Linked DNA regions of Ovis aries. The protein of the gene in region 1 purifies or fractionates together with the protein of each later gene. This does not show direct contact. Links are inferred from orthologs where the notes say so. Each region holds a gene or a part of one and is shown on either strand. Other genes may lie near its edges.

The links.
Region 2: the proteins of PTPN1 (region 1) and ABCD3 purify together in Homo sapiens (affinity purification with mass spectrometry; 3 studies listed by BioGRID and IntAct, with this or other methods). This does not show direct contact. The link is inferred for Ovis aries from reciprocal best matches to the Homo sapiens genes PTPN1 and ABCD3.

The regions. Positions count from the first base shown.
Region 1 is NC_056066.1:78,594,510-78,601,296, forward strand, and holds part of PTPN1 (tyrosine-protein phosphatase non-receptor type 1), read left to right. Parts: intron 1-544; coding exon 545-754; intron 755-1,048; coding exon 1,049-1,210; intron 1,211-1,584; coding exon 1,585-1,811; intron 1,812-3,541; coding exon 3,542-3,728; 3' UTR 3,729-6,787. UniProt on the Homo sapiens protein: Tyrosine-protein phosphatase which acts as a regulator of endoplasmic reticulum unfolded protein response. Mediates dephosphorylation of EIF2AK3/PERK; inactivating the protein kinase activity of EIF2AK3/PERK.
Region 2 is NC_056054.1:71,536,649-71,544,673, forward strand, and holds the start of ABCD3 (ATP-binding cassette sub-family D member 3), read left to right. Parts: upstream 1-3,009; 5' UTR 3,010-3,080; coding exon 3,081-3,190; intron 3,191-8,025. UniProt on the Homo sapiens protein: Broad substrate specificity ATP-dependent transporter of the ATP-binding cassette (ABC) family that catalyzes the transport of long-chain fatty acids (LCFA)-CoA, dicarboxylic acids-CoA, long-branched-chain fatty acids-CoA and bile acids from the cytosol to the peroxisome lumen for beta-oxydation.

The DNA.
Region 1 (6,787 bases):
TGGGGGCCAGGCCAGCTGGTCTTACCGGCACCCCTCCTCGCTGAGGGACTGAACCACACGTGCAGCCTCCAGTCTTTGGGGACCGAGTCAGTAACCTTTTTCTGTAAAATGACAGTCCTCTGAGACGTCCGGATCATCTTGTAAAGCCCCGGGTTCCCCAGAGCTGGTGCCCCTCACGTGTGGTTACATTTCCACTCTTTGATGTGAAACCCCGAGGCGCTGATGACAAGACTGCTGTGGGCGGTGGTGCAGCAGCACTTTGACTTACGGAGAGAAGTCAGTTGTGACCTTGAAGACAGCAGAAGGGAGAGGGGCGTCGAGATGAGGGCTCCTGGGGGCGAAAGTGTTGCAGCTGAAGCAGGAGCAGCCTAGCGCCTGTCCAGGGCTCGGGCCTTGTCCGCTGAGTCTGCGGTCCCGAGGAGAGAATCTGGGAACGAAAGCTCCTCGTGGAGGCGGGCGGGTCGAAAGGCACTTCACACTTACTTGAAGTCAGTGGTTCTCAGGTGATTCTTTGAGAGTCATCACATGTGTATTTCTCTTTCAGTCTCGAGAAACCCGAGAGATCTTACATTTCCACTATACCACGTGGCCTGACTTCGGAGTCCCCGAATCGCCGGCCTCGTTTCTGAACTTTCTCTTCAAAGTCCGCGAGTCGGGCTCGCTCAGCCGTGAACACGGCCCCATTGTGGTTCACTGCAGCGCCGGCATCGGCAGGTCGGGCACCTTCTGCCTGGCTGACACCTGCCTCTTGCTGGTAAGACATCCCTCAAGACCGCAGGAAGCAGAGGGAGCATGCAGTGACCGCCAGGCTGGCCTGGCCGCGGCCCTCTATCACTGTCTGCGGTCAGTCTGCTTTGGTCTTGACTTTCTAGCAGCTTCCCTCCTGTCAAGGGAGCTTTACCGTAAACAGCTTCATTTGGAGGAGTGCTCTTAAAGCCAGAGAATCCCCTTCCCTCACACTCTTCCTCACGCTCCCCTAGGACGTGTACAGTCATGTTGCCTCTGACACCCAGACCTTGCTCAGCTGTGTCTCCTCTCTGGCTTTCAGATGGACAAAAGGAAAGACCCTTCTTCTGTTGATATCAAGAAAGTTCTGTTAGAAATGCGGAAATTTCGGATGGGGCTGATCCAGACAGCAGACCAGCTCCGCTTCTCCTACCTGGCTGTGATCGAGGGCGCCAAGTTCATCATGGGAGACTCTTCGGTGCAGGTCAGCATTCCTTTTGCTTTAATCCGAGTGTGTTGGTTTTAAACTTTTGCCTCTAAAGAAGGAGGCTGTTCACTGTCAAAGTTGAAATAATGTCATGTGTCAGGGGAAAGAGCTAGACTTCATGTTTAAGTCTGTTTAGCTAGAAAGTTGTGGGAATTGTCACCATGTTCCAGTTTCTTTGAAGTGCTCACCCAGAGAGCATTAATAGGGAAGTTAGACCTAATTTTCCAAAGATCTCATCTTCCAAGGACACGGCTGGAGACCCGAGAAGCTGAAAGGCCCCTCACCTAGCCCTCACCTCTCCTCACTTGAAAGGGAGCAGATTTCCTGACAAATCACCAACCGTGAAATCTTCCTCTTGCTGCTTTTTCAAGGAGCAATGGAAAGAGCTCTCCCACGAGGATCTGGAGCCCCCACCTGAGCACGTCCCCCCACCTCCCCGGCCCCCCAAGCGAGTCCTTGAGCCACACAACGGGAAGTGCAAGGAATTCTTCCCCAACCATCAGTGGGTAAAGGATGACACTGAGGAGGAGGATAAAGAAGACGGCCCCATCAAGGAAGCAACCAGAGCCCCGTTAAACGCCCCCTGCAGCCTGGAAAGGTAAAGATGGTCCTGGCTTACTGGAGGGGGCAGGGGCGGGCAGCCTTCTCTTGGCAACTGGTACTTCTGTGTCCTTGGGGAGACGGAGACGGAGACGGGGAGACGGGGAGAGGGGCCCCTGCACCAGCCTTGCACCTCGGCTGGTGGGCGGAGCCTCTGGACTGAGCGCAGGTTGGCTGGGGAGAGGGACTGACTGCAGCAGGGGCCTGGCGCCACCTGGTGGTGCCTGTGGGAACTGGGGCTCCCGTCAGGTCTCCAGCCCAGTGTCCACGCGACAGAAAACAGGAGCCGCGCTTCGGGCAGGTCCTGAAACTGATATCCAGGCCTGACCACGTCCCTCCAGCCCCTAGAACTCAACCTTTTCGTGTAGCTTTGATTGTCGTTTTTGTTCCTTACGGTTTGACAAAGATTACTGAGCACCTACTTGTGCCTGTGAGAAATGAGATAATTAGAGCAGGGCCCCTGATCTGTGTTCTGGACCATCTTGTTGGAAAGGGCACAGTAGGTTGTGGTGGGGGCCCCATGGATGGGACTGTGCTGGAGGCGCACGCTGAGGTGGTCAGCCTTAGAGAAGAGCCACCCAGCCTTTCCTGGGAGGTCAGGGAGGGCTGCCTGCAGGTGGTGACATTGTGCCGGAGCTTGAAGGGTGGACAGGAATCAGCCTGAGCTCGTGGAAGCAGTGCCCTCAGTGCCTCCTGTTTCAGAGGGCAGCTTAAGATTAGCGCCCACTCTGCCCTCACATTTGTCTGCACCTTGCGATTCAGCCTGCAGCAGTTCTCAGCAGGCGTGTGGAGTGCAGAGGTGTGTAGGCAGAGGTGTTCATGGTGGCATCACCTGTAGTGGTGAGAAACTAGAGGTGGGTCGATTGTGTATGCAGGGCCTGTAGTGGTGAGAAACTAGAGGTGGGTTGATGGTGTATCCAGGGAGCGCATCGGGAGGGCTTTCCCCCTGTGCTGAATGCTCTGCAGCTGTTGAAAGGCAGGATCAGGGTGTATTCTTGTGGCCGGGCTTGGGAACGTCAATGCAGGAGTGAGCAGGTTGCACGCGGTGTGTGCCCTCCGGCTAAGCGTACCATCCAGATCTTCCCTGGTTACTTTGCCAAATGCTGGTTCCAGACCTGAGTCCTGGCCCATGAACCCACTCCCAGGGCCTTTTGTGCACCTCTCATTCTGGGGCTCTAGAGACACTTGTCCGGGGGAGCCTCCCAGAGCAGAGCCCGAGTGCGGGAGGCTGTGCCCGGCTTCCGGGGCCTCCGCTGACATTCGAGAGTGGACAGTGTACTCCCCCTGAGGGCTCTTCGCAGGCCGCGGGCAAGAGACGGAGGGGGCCCACGGCTTGTGCCACGTCGGGGTCACGTGTCCTGTTTCTTCATTCATGAAGACCGTGGGGCGAGGTGCCCTCCACATTCCATGGGTGAAAGTGAGGAGCAGGGAAGCGTGGATCTGGGCACTGAAAGCCAGAGGGTGCCAGGAGACCATGGAGCAGGCCAAACTCCTGAGTGTCTGCACCGGGGGGAGCCCGCACGCACCCAGGCCTCGCCCCGGACCCCTGCCCTGGCCCTGCAGTCAGGCCCTGGCAAGGAGGTGGTGACAGGCAGTCTTCCAGCCAGTGTCTGCGTTGTCAGGCCGTTTCCAGGGCCCTCCATCCCCTACAGTTCCTCCCATGATAATAGCATCCTTGCCGTTGTCTTCCCGGGCGAGTAACCCTTCTCTGCCCCCTTAACTCCTCAGCGCGAGTCAAGACACTGAAGTCAGAAGGCGGGTCATGGGCGCAGACCCTGCGCAGGGGGAGCCATCGCCGCCTGCAGAGGAGCGAGACCAGCCGCTGAGCCACTGGAAGCCCTTCCTGGTCAACGTGTGTGTGGCCACGGTCCTCACGGCCGGCGCGTACCTCTGCTACAGGGTCTGTTTCCACTGACGGACGTGCTGGCCAGACCGCCTGCAGAAAGCCTGGCCTTCGCCCGGCGGCGGCGCTCGGTGCCGGGGAGGCCCTGAGCCCGTCCGGAAGAAGCAGGCCAGAGGTTTTCAGAGTCTAGAACTGTGAGGGCTAACGGGAGAGGACTGGGGATTGGCGCACTGGGGACTGGAGGCGCTGAGGCCCCAGGAGTGGAGGAGTCTGATCTCAGGGCCTTAACCTATTCAGGAGTAAGTAGAGGAAATGCCAAATACGTCTCTCTCTCTTCCTTTTTTTTGTTCATTTTTGAAAAAAAAAAAAAAATAGAATTACAACACATTGTTGTTTTTAACCTTTATAAAAAGAAGCTTTTTGTTATTTCTGGGGTTGGGGGGAGAAAAGACCAGGCACCTATGAAACTGCCTTGTGCCCTTAGGTGGCCTCACCAGATACAGTTTTTATTTGATTTCCCAGGGAAAGACTCCCACACATGTACGAATGTAAACTCCCTTGGCGAAGAGGGTTGAGAGTCGGACCCCGTCTGGCTTGAGCACAGCCCCTGCTGCGGGCTTCCCCTACTGGGAGAAGGAGAGCAGCGAAGGCCGTCTCTAGAAATCAGAACCTGGCTTCTGCTTCTGCTCAGGGTGTCCCGCCTCCGTTTCCCCACACAGCCCTCCCCTCGCGGCTCCCCACTCAGGGTCCCCTGGGGCCAGAGGTCACCACAGGGCGGCCGCCGGTCCTCCACCCAGGCCTTGAGACCCAGATGGAGCAGGTACTGCTCGGCTCGGAATAGGAATCCTGTCTCGGCAGAAATCCCCCCAGTTGGAATGTGTCACTGTTCAAGTTAAGGAAAAGGTCGAGGAGGAGCCTCAAACCTCCAGTCACGAAAATCACCTCCCAAGATGATTCATTTTTTATTGGTTTTTCACATTTTACCTCTTTTCTAAGCAACCGTCTTTGCATCCAGTGGTTTAGCAGCATGCAAACAATTTTTTGTTTGGAGGTGATTTTGGGGAAGGTAGAGCTCCTGTGAAAAATCAAACTGTTCATGGGAGGCGGGGGCAGCCAGGGTGTGCATGCGTCTGCAGCTCTGCAGCGCCGGGCTTGTCTGAAAATGCTTGGTTTCTTTTCAGTTCCTGTTCAGCAGTGACACACAGCCTGACCCAGCACCAGCCTCGTCCGCCTGGCGGGCAGCCGCCGTGGGTGAGGCTACAGGCAAGGCCGCAGCCGCCCGCGAGCCGCGGGTCTGCACTGAAGCGGCCCTCCTGGGCGCTTGGTCTCAGCTGCACCATCTCCCCTTCCTCCCCCTCCCCTGCTTGGAGGACCACACCCACGGCCCAGTTCTGAGGAGGGCACAGGAGGGTGCTGTGCCCATGGCATGGGGCAGGGCAGCCTGGGTGGGCAGCAGGGCCGAGTCTCACGTGGGGGCCCACCGCCTCTCTCCACTCCATATTTATTTTCACATTGTTTCCCCCGAAGACATCCACAGTGCACTGGCATCTTCTTAAACCAGTAACATGTTCAAGGTTTTGGATGTCAGCCTTGCACCAAGGGCTTTATCCAAAAGTACAGCAGTAAACCCTCAGGTCGGGCTGGGAACGGAAGACTTCACCGCAAGCCTCCACGTAGACCAGTGCCCAGTAGGAGGATGGCTGGGAGCTGTCATTGTGTCGCAATGCTGTGGCGTGCTCGAGAAGGAGTCTGCATGTGTTCATAGAGCAAGGGGATAATGTATAATGGACACTTGGCTATTTAAGACATGGTGTGAGGTTCCTTTGTCCCAGTTCCTCATCTCCCCAGTTACCTGCTCAACCTTGACCTCAGCCACCACTCCCCCTGTGTGTATTAAGATGCATGTCCTGTCTTCCTGTGTCCCCATCAGATACGACGTGCTTGGAATACTTAGCGCTCTGCTGACTAGCGTGCCCCATGTATAAGTCCAGTTTCCCTTTGCACGGTCTGATCGTTACATGTCTGTGGTTCCTAAGACTGTTGCTGAAATAGTCGCCATTCAGCAGTGGAATGACGTTTTCCAGTAACAGATAGTTGCCTAATTCCTGGCACAACCCTCTGGTGACTTCCTGGTGAGGCCCAGCCTGTCCTGCTCCAGCTGCGTCCACTGTAGCTCAGACATTCCAAGGGCATGGGGAGCCATGGTCACACCTGGACATGTAGAGGATCAGGGTCCTCCCTCCCACCCCCCCCCACACACACACGCACCTTTCGGATCAGCCTCCACCACGCCCAAGTTCATACTCGCCTTGAGCGGACCGTGATTTGGAACCACGGCAACTGTCGGAAACCGCCCTTCCTGAAACAGCCTGTACGACAGTCCCTTCAAGTCAGCCTGGGGCCCTCTAGGTCCGGGTGCCTTGCTGCACGAGGCGTCTGCCCCCACCTTGAACTCTGGGGACTGATGGTGCTCAGGACTCCGCCTGCGTCGGGGGGAACCTGTGACCTCCACATTCAGTGGCTTTTTTTATCAAGAAAAAATAAAAGGCAGCTGTGGCTCACGAGCTGCTCTTTTGCCAGCATTTTCACATTTTTGCCTTTCACGTGTTAGAAGCTCTGCATAAGTTTCCGGGGGGGAGCATCTGCGGTGTTGCCCGCAGGCCCTGGTGAGGTGCGATGAGGCTGGGGGCCAGGCTGCAAGTGTGTTTGAGTTGGGCTTGTCCGTCGGTTCTGTTAAGTCCTGTATGTGTATGTAGTAGTTTGGGTGTGTATATTTAGTAGCATTTCAAAGTGGATATACTGATTTAACCTCCTATCCTTGGAAAACAGATGGCTCTGCGTCCTGTCACACGTATGTTAGAGAAGTAGTGAGCTGCTCTGCTATATGCCTTAAGCCAATATTTACTCGTCAGGTCATTATTTTTTACAGTGGCCGTAGAATAAACCATTTTTACAAAAATAAAAACAGCCAGGTGTTTTGGTATAATACCTTTCCAGGTGTGTGTATACGTGGATGCATGATGGGGGGGGGGGCGCGTCTCAGGGTCTTCTGTGACCTCACAGAACTGTCAAACTGTACAGTTTTCCAACTTGCCATATAAATGATGGTTTGCATTTTAGTTGCAACAATA
Region 2 (8,025 bases), on another chromosome or scaffold:
CTGGTGGGCTACGATCCATAGAGTGCAACGAGTTGGACACGACTGAAGTGAACTTAGCACACACAAGCCTATTCTACATTAATCTTACCTTTCAAGAAACAGATCCCCTAGTCTGCTTCTCGATGCAGGTCTGATATTAATTCCCTTACATATAGATCTGATTTGCTCTGAGGCTATTAAGTACTGTTTCATTTAGTCTACCTAAATTCTTTCTTTCCCCTAATATGATAACCATCCACTTTTCCTCCGTTTTTTGGAGACATACCCATAATTCCTCTGTTTCCTCTGCTCTGTGGTTTCCTTTGCTGCTGCAAACTAGTAAACGTAACTTGGTTGGGTTACAGATTTTTCCCTGGTGGTATTTATATGATGGGATAAAATTATTTGAGCTCATATTTAACTAATTTCATTTTTAAGAATCAGTTATGCTTCTTTTTAAAATTACTTATTTATTTTATTTTTTGGCTGCATTGGATCATCTTTGCTTTCTCTAGTTGCAGTGTGGGGGCTACTCTTTTTCGATTTTTTAAAAAAATTATTATTTTTTTAACACCAAAAACATTTTCTGCTGGGGTAACTGATTAACAATGTTGCTGTAGTTTCAAATATATAGGGAAGGGACTCAGCCATACATATACATGTATCCATTCTCCCCCAAACCGCTCTCCCATCCAGGCTGGCACATAACTTTGAGCAGAGTTCCATGTGCTATCAGTTCAGTTCAGTTCAGTCGCTCAGTTGTGTCTGACTCTTTGCGACCCCATGAACCGCAGCACGCCAGGCCTCCCTATCCATCACCAACTCCCAGAGTTCACCCAAACTCATGTCCATTGAGTCGGTGATGCCATCCAACCATCTCATCCTCTGTCATCCCCTTCTCCTCCTGCCCTCAATCTTTCCCAGCATCAGGGTCTTTTCAAATGAGCTAGCTCTTCACATCAGGTGGCCAAAGTATTGAAGTTTCAGCCTCAACATCAGTCCTTCCAATGAACACCCAGGACTGATATCCTTTAGGATGGACTGGTTGGATCTCTTTGCAGTCCAAGGGACTCTAAAGAGTCTTCTCCAACACCACATTTCAAAAGAATCAATTCTTTGGTGGTCAGTTTTCTTTATAGTCCACCTCTCTCATCCATAGATGACTACTGGAAAAAGCACAGCCTTGACTAGACGGAACTTTGTTGACAAAGTAATGTCTTTACTTTTTAATATGCTGTCTAGGTTGGTCATAACTTTCCTTCCAAGGAGTAAGCGTCTTTTAATTTCATGGCTATACAGTAGGTCTTTGTTGGTTGTCCATTTTAAATACAGCAATGTGTACATGACCTTCCCAAAGTCCCTAACAATCCCTTCCGCCAGCGGGGTCTACTCTTGATTGCAGTGCATGGGCTTCTCATTGCCCTGGCTTCTCTTGTTGAGGAGCCCAGGTTCTAGGCACGTGGGCTTCAGTAGTTGCAGCACCTGGGCTCAGAAGTTGTGGCTCATGGACTTAGTTGCTCCGAGGTATGTGTAATCTTCCCAGACCAGGGATCTAACCTGTTTCCCCTGCATTGGCAGGCAGACTTTCATCCACTGGGCCACCAGGGAAGTCCACTGATGCATCTTGAACAAGGGTATTTTTAGAATATCTTGCCCAATGAATCATTCATGTCTTTTCTCTGAACTATAGTCTACTTCCTAAATGTATCTTTTTTTTTTTTTAAATAAAATCTATTTACTAACTAGACATATTTTGGATTAACCTTGAATGCCCTTTCTTCACTGCTAGGAGCTCCAAGATGATAATCACTTTCTCCCAAGTCCCTAACACTTTCACAATGCTATGCAATTTTTAAATGAACTAGTAATTTTCCCTTTTGCCTTCTTGAGTGATTCTTGTAATCTGTATCAAGAAATTGCCAATTTATATTGAGAAAACACCTTAGGAAATCACTGTTTTGTGGGCCACTTCAAATGGGCTACTTTAATATAGGAACTTGTTTTCTGATTGACACACTTGATTTTTTCTCCTTTCCTCAACTAAAGACAGGGACTCACTAGTCACTGTACAAAGCTGTCTAAATGCTAAGGATTTCTGTATCACAGGCCCTAGCTGAAGAATGCTGTAATCTCTAATGCCCTTCTTATTCCGGGAGTAAGGCCAACATGATCACAATGCACTCTTGTTATGGCTGAATGTCCCTCTGCAAAGAATAGTGTTTCTCAAATGTGTTTGATTAGAGCCACATTAAGTAATACATTTTGTTTCACTTCTCGGGGCACACAGATCCAAAAGACTGGTATAAACATTTCTCAGAACAACTCCATTACACGTAAAGCACCCTGAGATTGTTCTATTCTTCTATATTTCGTTAAAAAAAAAAGTGATGGTCTCCATCTACCAAACCGATATATAATCCCCTAGAGGTGATAATTTATGGTTTAGAAAACACTGGCTTGGAAAAAGACTTTTGATTTGTAGTCAGTCTTTCCACATTTCCGTACACCTCTGAGAGTTTCCTACAGTTGTTTTCCTCTAAAGGATTACTGCGCCCTCTGTTTTGTGTAAAGGTTCTGTGATAGGGCCGGTCCCCTTCTTCCTGGCTCCTTTAAGAGGATGGTAACTGCCCAACAGTGGAGGCGGAGTGGTGAGTCTCAACAAGCCCCTGATGCAGCCCAGGCCCGCTTTTCCAGTTCTTGTGAAAGCCTTGTGTGTGTGCGCGCGCGGAGGTGGGGGTAAGGGTGAGACCGCGGGATACACAGACGGATTGTTAAGAGCGAGCAGCGGCAAATAGAGCCTCAGGGGGCGTCTCTGCGCTCGCGTGCCCGGCGAACCCAGGAGGGTAGGCGCGTGCGCAGAGCGAGTCTGTTCCGGCCCCTGTGGCGCCTGCGCGCGCTCCCGCCGAGCTAAAGTCCGGGGTGGGCTCCGGAGCGCGGCCGGCGCGGCGGCGCGCGCCAGGGGGCGGGCCTGAGCGGTCGGCACCGCCCTCCCTCGGCGCGCTCCTCTCCTCCCAGTCTCCCTCGCGCTTCCTGCACTACGGTAGTCGCTGCTGCGTCCGCCTCCCCGGTCCCTTCCCTGTCTCGCTCGTGCTGGCTGTGCCATGGCGGCCTTCAGCAAGTACCTGACCGTGCGAAACTCCTCGCTGGCGGGTGCCACGTTCCTGCTGCTTTGCCTGCTTCACAAGCGGCGCCGCGCCCTCGGCCTGCACAGGTAAGAAGGCCCGTGGCCGCGCCGCCTTCCCGGGCCCGAGCTGGAGCTCCCCGGGCGCTCTTCTCCTTCGCCCGGCGGACGATCCCCTTTGCCCCGCGGGGTCAAGTGGAGCCGGGGCTGGCCGCGGGCGCTGCCAGGCTCCAATGTCAGGGTGTCCGGGTGTCCCGCGACGCGGGAGTTCTCCGTGCTCCCTGCGCTCCGCCTGCTTGTCCAGTCGCCTACTCTGTCCCCGGGGGTGTGAATCTTTTTCTTGCACCCGCTAGCAAACCTGTGCCTCTGACCCGAGGAGTCGCCCCCCATATCCTCCCCTTTTTACATCCACTCCACCACCTCCTTTTTTGCATCAACTTTCTGGGTGTGTTGCAGTTTTGCCATCTCATCTGATTGTCAGTGGGTTTGCTTTGTGGACGGTTATGTGTGATTTGAGGATGGGGATTGGACGCACACGCTGGAGGCTGTTGTTTTAAGTCAGTGGGTGAGGTTTGGCATGAATCCTTAGTAGTTGCCATTGAAAGTCGCTAGGATGGTTCTTGTGAACTATCCCGGATCCACTTCAAAGTTGCTTTCTAAAGTGCTGTCCCCTTGGAGTTGGTCAATGGACGCCCTGGCATTTCAGCCGAAAAGGCCGAATGGGTTCCGAGGTATTTGGAGGGCAAGGTTCCCTTTCCTGATTCGCAGGTGGAAGGTGCAAGTGTGCTTTAGATAAGGGTTAGGAGCTCTTTGGATTATACGCCGTTGCTTCTCCTTCGAGAATTTTAATGTTTAAATTTAACTTTGGGAGATTATAAGATTAGAGAAGGAAGAGAGAATTGAGTTACTTGTTGTGGGGTTATAGATATAATTTATTTGCTTCAGCAAATGAATGAGAAAAGGCTATGTCAAGCATGCTTGCCTGGAAAGTATTGGATATTTCATATTGAATCTTGGCATCGTGTTTTCATACATTTTATCTCATTCATTTCTTTGGGCAGGTATTGTTGACTTCTCTTTTGATTTGCCTATTATGTCTGATTAGTAGTAGACGTTGGTTTAAAACATTGACAAGTGGGCTTCCTTCCCATGAAGTTCTTCCTAAACCTTCCCCTGTCCCTGATTTCTTTATCTTATTAAAGTCTGAAGTAGTGGCCTTTCTTTTCCTTTGTAAATCTGCTTAACAAAGTTGAAAATGATTGGCATCTTCGTCAGAACAGTACAGAGCTTTTTCTTCTATCCAGTTAGCTGTTAAAATGACTTATTCTGGAAAATGTAAACAGAATTGTAGATGAGATTGTATGTTTTCTGAGCTCCCAGTTGCCAATGGCAGTTATGCATTATCTGGGAATATGCCAGTAGAAAATATTGAATGTTGTAAGATAACTTTCAATTACACTTTTGTGGAGAAGTATTTCACATGGAACAGGTGTTTTATTATGGGAGAGGGGGATTTGAGGACTGCCCTAACAGCTCTGGCTTGCTTTTATGATTTTTTTAAAAAGTAAAAACATTGTTTTATTGTAGAATTACATATTTGTAGAAAGTTACATGTTAGTGTAGGGCTTGAAGAATTTTCACAAATGAAACTCACTCATGTAATCATCACTCAGATCTGCACCCAGTTAAGAACATTGTCAGCATCCCAGAAACACTCTCCAAGTCTTTCAGGTCCCTTCCAGTCACAGCTAAAGTAGTTCCTGATTAATAAAGCCATAGATAATTGAGTGAGGGAAAGTTTAAGCATAATCAGATGGGAAATAGTAGTAATAATAGCAAAACAGTATGGTATAGTCTGGCTTAGTAAATAATTTTGGATGTTTATGCATTATTAATGTAAAAGGCTGTATAGATCTCTTTTTGAGAAATTTTGTAAACTTTGGAGGGGATTAAACTATGCAGCAGTTAATTTACTAAACAAAAGATTCTTGTTAATTTTTTGCACTGGCGGTACAGTACTAAGGAATATCTGTATTTTACGCATTAAATAGTTTGTGGGAGGGGAATGCAAATTATGAGCAGATAAGCTTGAATTTTAAATTACAGAAATAAAATGGTTGAATTATTTTAAAGTCATGAAGAATGGTGTCAAATCTATCTTTGTAGATAATATACTTCCAGAATCACTTGGATATCTTTCAGTTGCCGTCTTTGGCATCATAGTGTTGCAGCCACTTGTTCCAGCAAGCAAACTCACTCAGAAGGACAAGGCAGATAGTGGAGTGCAGTTATTACACTGGCGGGCCCAAGGCAGAGTCTCCTCTTAGCCAAGGACCCCAACCAGTTTTTGTGAAAACCTTATATACCCTGAGTGTACATGCCCAAACCCACCTCCCCAAATTCCCTGAAACTAGTCTGAACAAAGGAAAAGAAAGATACAGTCAAAGTTAATCTGGGATTCATTTGCCTTAAGCCTCGGTAATTAACAGTGGACAATTATCAATAGGCCTGTGGCCATACCCCAATAAGCATAATAAAATTTATGATTCTGTTTGGTTACACAGATAATTAGGATATTCTTTTAGGCTATGGAGAGTCTAGGTACTAGCCCTGGGGCTCTTACATCCCGGGGGTCTGGTTTTCCAGTTGGTATGTCGTTTCCATAGATAACTGGGCATATAGCTCAGTCCACAAGTCCAGCCCAAGAGGGGGTCCTGCTTTCAAGATGGAGCTTGTTCTGTCTGTTTCCTCCTTCAATAGTTTGATGATTAGAAAATTGTAACTTTATATTTTACTGGCTTTTTGGGTATCTTCGGTAACAGGGCTAATTAACTTTACCATCTAGTACCTAATTAAGGAAATTGTGACTGCTTGACCTTTATAGCTTGTCTGTGCTATTGACAGATTTGTCTTAGAAGATATTCCTTAGAACCAGATAGGTAATAAAGATAGTAAAATCAAGATACAATGTTACATTATTCCAGACATTGGGAGAATGAGTAATTTAATCTTCTGAGTAGTTTTTTAGTTATATATGATTTGACTGGGAGAAATATACTTTTTATTACAGAAAATCTCACATGCATTCAAAGTAGGCAGAATAATTTTGTGGACCCCCGTACACTCCACACAAAAAGTACTGTCAACATTCTATCATTCTTGTTTCATCTATAGCTCCTTGCTCCCTACCCTTATTTTTTTTTAAAGATTTTTAGGTAAAATTTGTATATATTGAGCTGTACACATCCTGTGTATTTTTAAAATAAATAGATGGCAACAGTTTAACACATTCCTTTCGTAAAATTAGAATCTTTTCATCTCCCCAGAAAGTTCCCTCGTATTTGTTCTATATGACCACTGTACTAACTTTTTCACCCTAGTTTTGATTAGTCATACATCTTATTTGTTTATTATTTATATGGAGATTAGTGGAATCATTTTATTCATGGATAAAGGAGACTCATGTATTCAGTTCAAAGGAATTCTCTGTTTCATAATGTATTACCACACTAGGTGCTGTGGGATGGAGGTGTGTCACACATACATTCAAAAAATATATGACATCTTTAAGTGTGAATTAGTCAAAAAGGTAAGATGATGACAATGCAGTGTACAGACAGTCAGGCCTTAGAAATTTCTGAAAGAAGAGATTAATATGGTTGGGAAGAGCTAAGGAAGGCTTTCTGAAGGATATGAGCTAAGCCTAGAATGAGGGTAGGAATGAATGACTGGAGATAAATTGAATGTTAACAGAAGCCTTTATCAGATTTTTGTTGCATTTTATGAGGCATGGTCGTGCTCTTTCCATCCATTGTCCACTGCCACGAGAGCTCTTTTTAAGAAACACAAATATGGTCGTGTTATTTCATCATTCAACTCTTTCAGTTCAGTTCAGTTCAGTCGCTCAGTCGTGTCCGACTCTCTGCGACCCCATGAATCGCAGCACGCCAGGCCTCCCTGTCCATCACCATCTCCCCGAGTTCACTCAGACTCACGTCCACTGAGTCAGTGATGCCATCCAGCCATCTCATCCTCAGTCGTCCCCTTCTCCTCCCGCCCCCATTCCCTCCCAGCATCAGAGTCTTTTCTAAAGAGTCAACTCTTCGCATGAGGTGGCCAAAGTACTGGAGCAACTCTTTCAGCTATTCTAAAATACAGAATTCTTAGCATGAGAGAGTGGTGTCGTGATCTGGTCCTCTGCTACATACTCAGCCAGCCATATGAAATTAACAGTCTCTGAGCGGGATGGGCTCTGCCCAGCCGTTGCAGTCTAACTGTAATCATTCTCATCCCCACCACTTCTTCCCACCCTTTGATGTTCATTTTCCCTCATGACTCAGTTCAGCTAGCACTTTCTTTTAAATATTGTCTGTCTTTTCCTGATCTCCAGACTGGTGGTGTGCCCTCTCAGGCTGCACTAAGCATTCCTCTACTCTGTATTGTACCAGCTTATTTTCTTGGCTTCTGCCTGCGTCAGACTGTGAGTTTCTGGAGGCTCTGGACTGAGTTATCTTTACGTTCCTAGTTTGCCTATGTCACAGGATAGACATTCAGAAGCATTTATAGGGTGGACAAATGATGCAGGGTAGTTGGAGACTTTTTAAGGATAATTGACAGGCAGTTGGAGATGGGGTACTAGCACAAACATGAGTTAAAGGCATTATCTTCAGAGAGGTGATAGTTGTGTGCCTGAGATTGTATAACAGGAACTGGGGGTAGGGGAGGGTAGGAAATCAGCGGGCCAGTTTTAGAAGGCAAGGAAGGGACGAGTCAACATTGCTAAACTATTTTATAATCTTAAAAAAAAAAACAAAAACAGAAGCAGAACAAAGCAGTTTTCTTTCTTTTCCCATGAATACTTGTCAAAGTTCAGATTTCATCCTGGATTTCAGAATCTGCCTTTATCTGGTCTCACCTTACCTGGC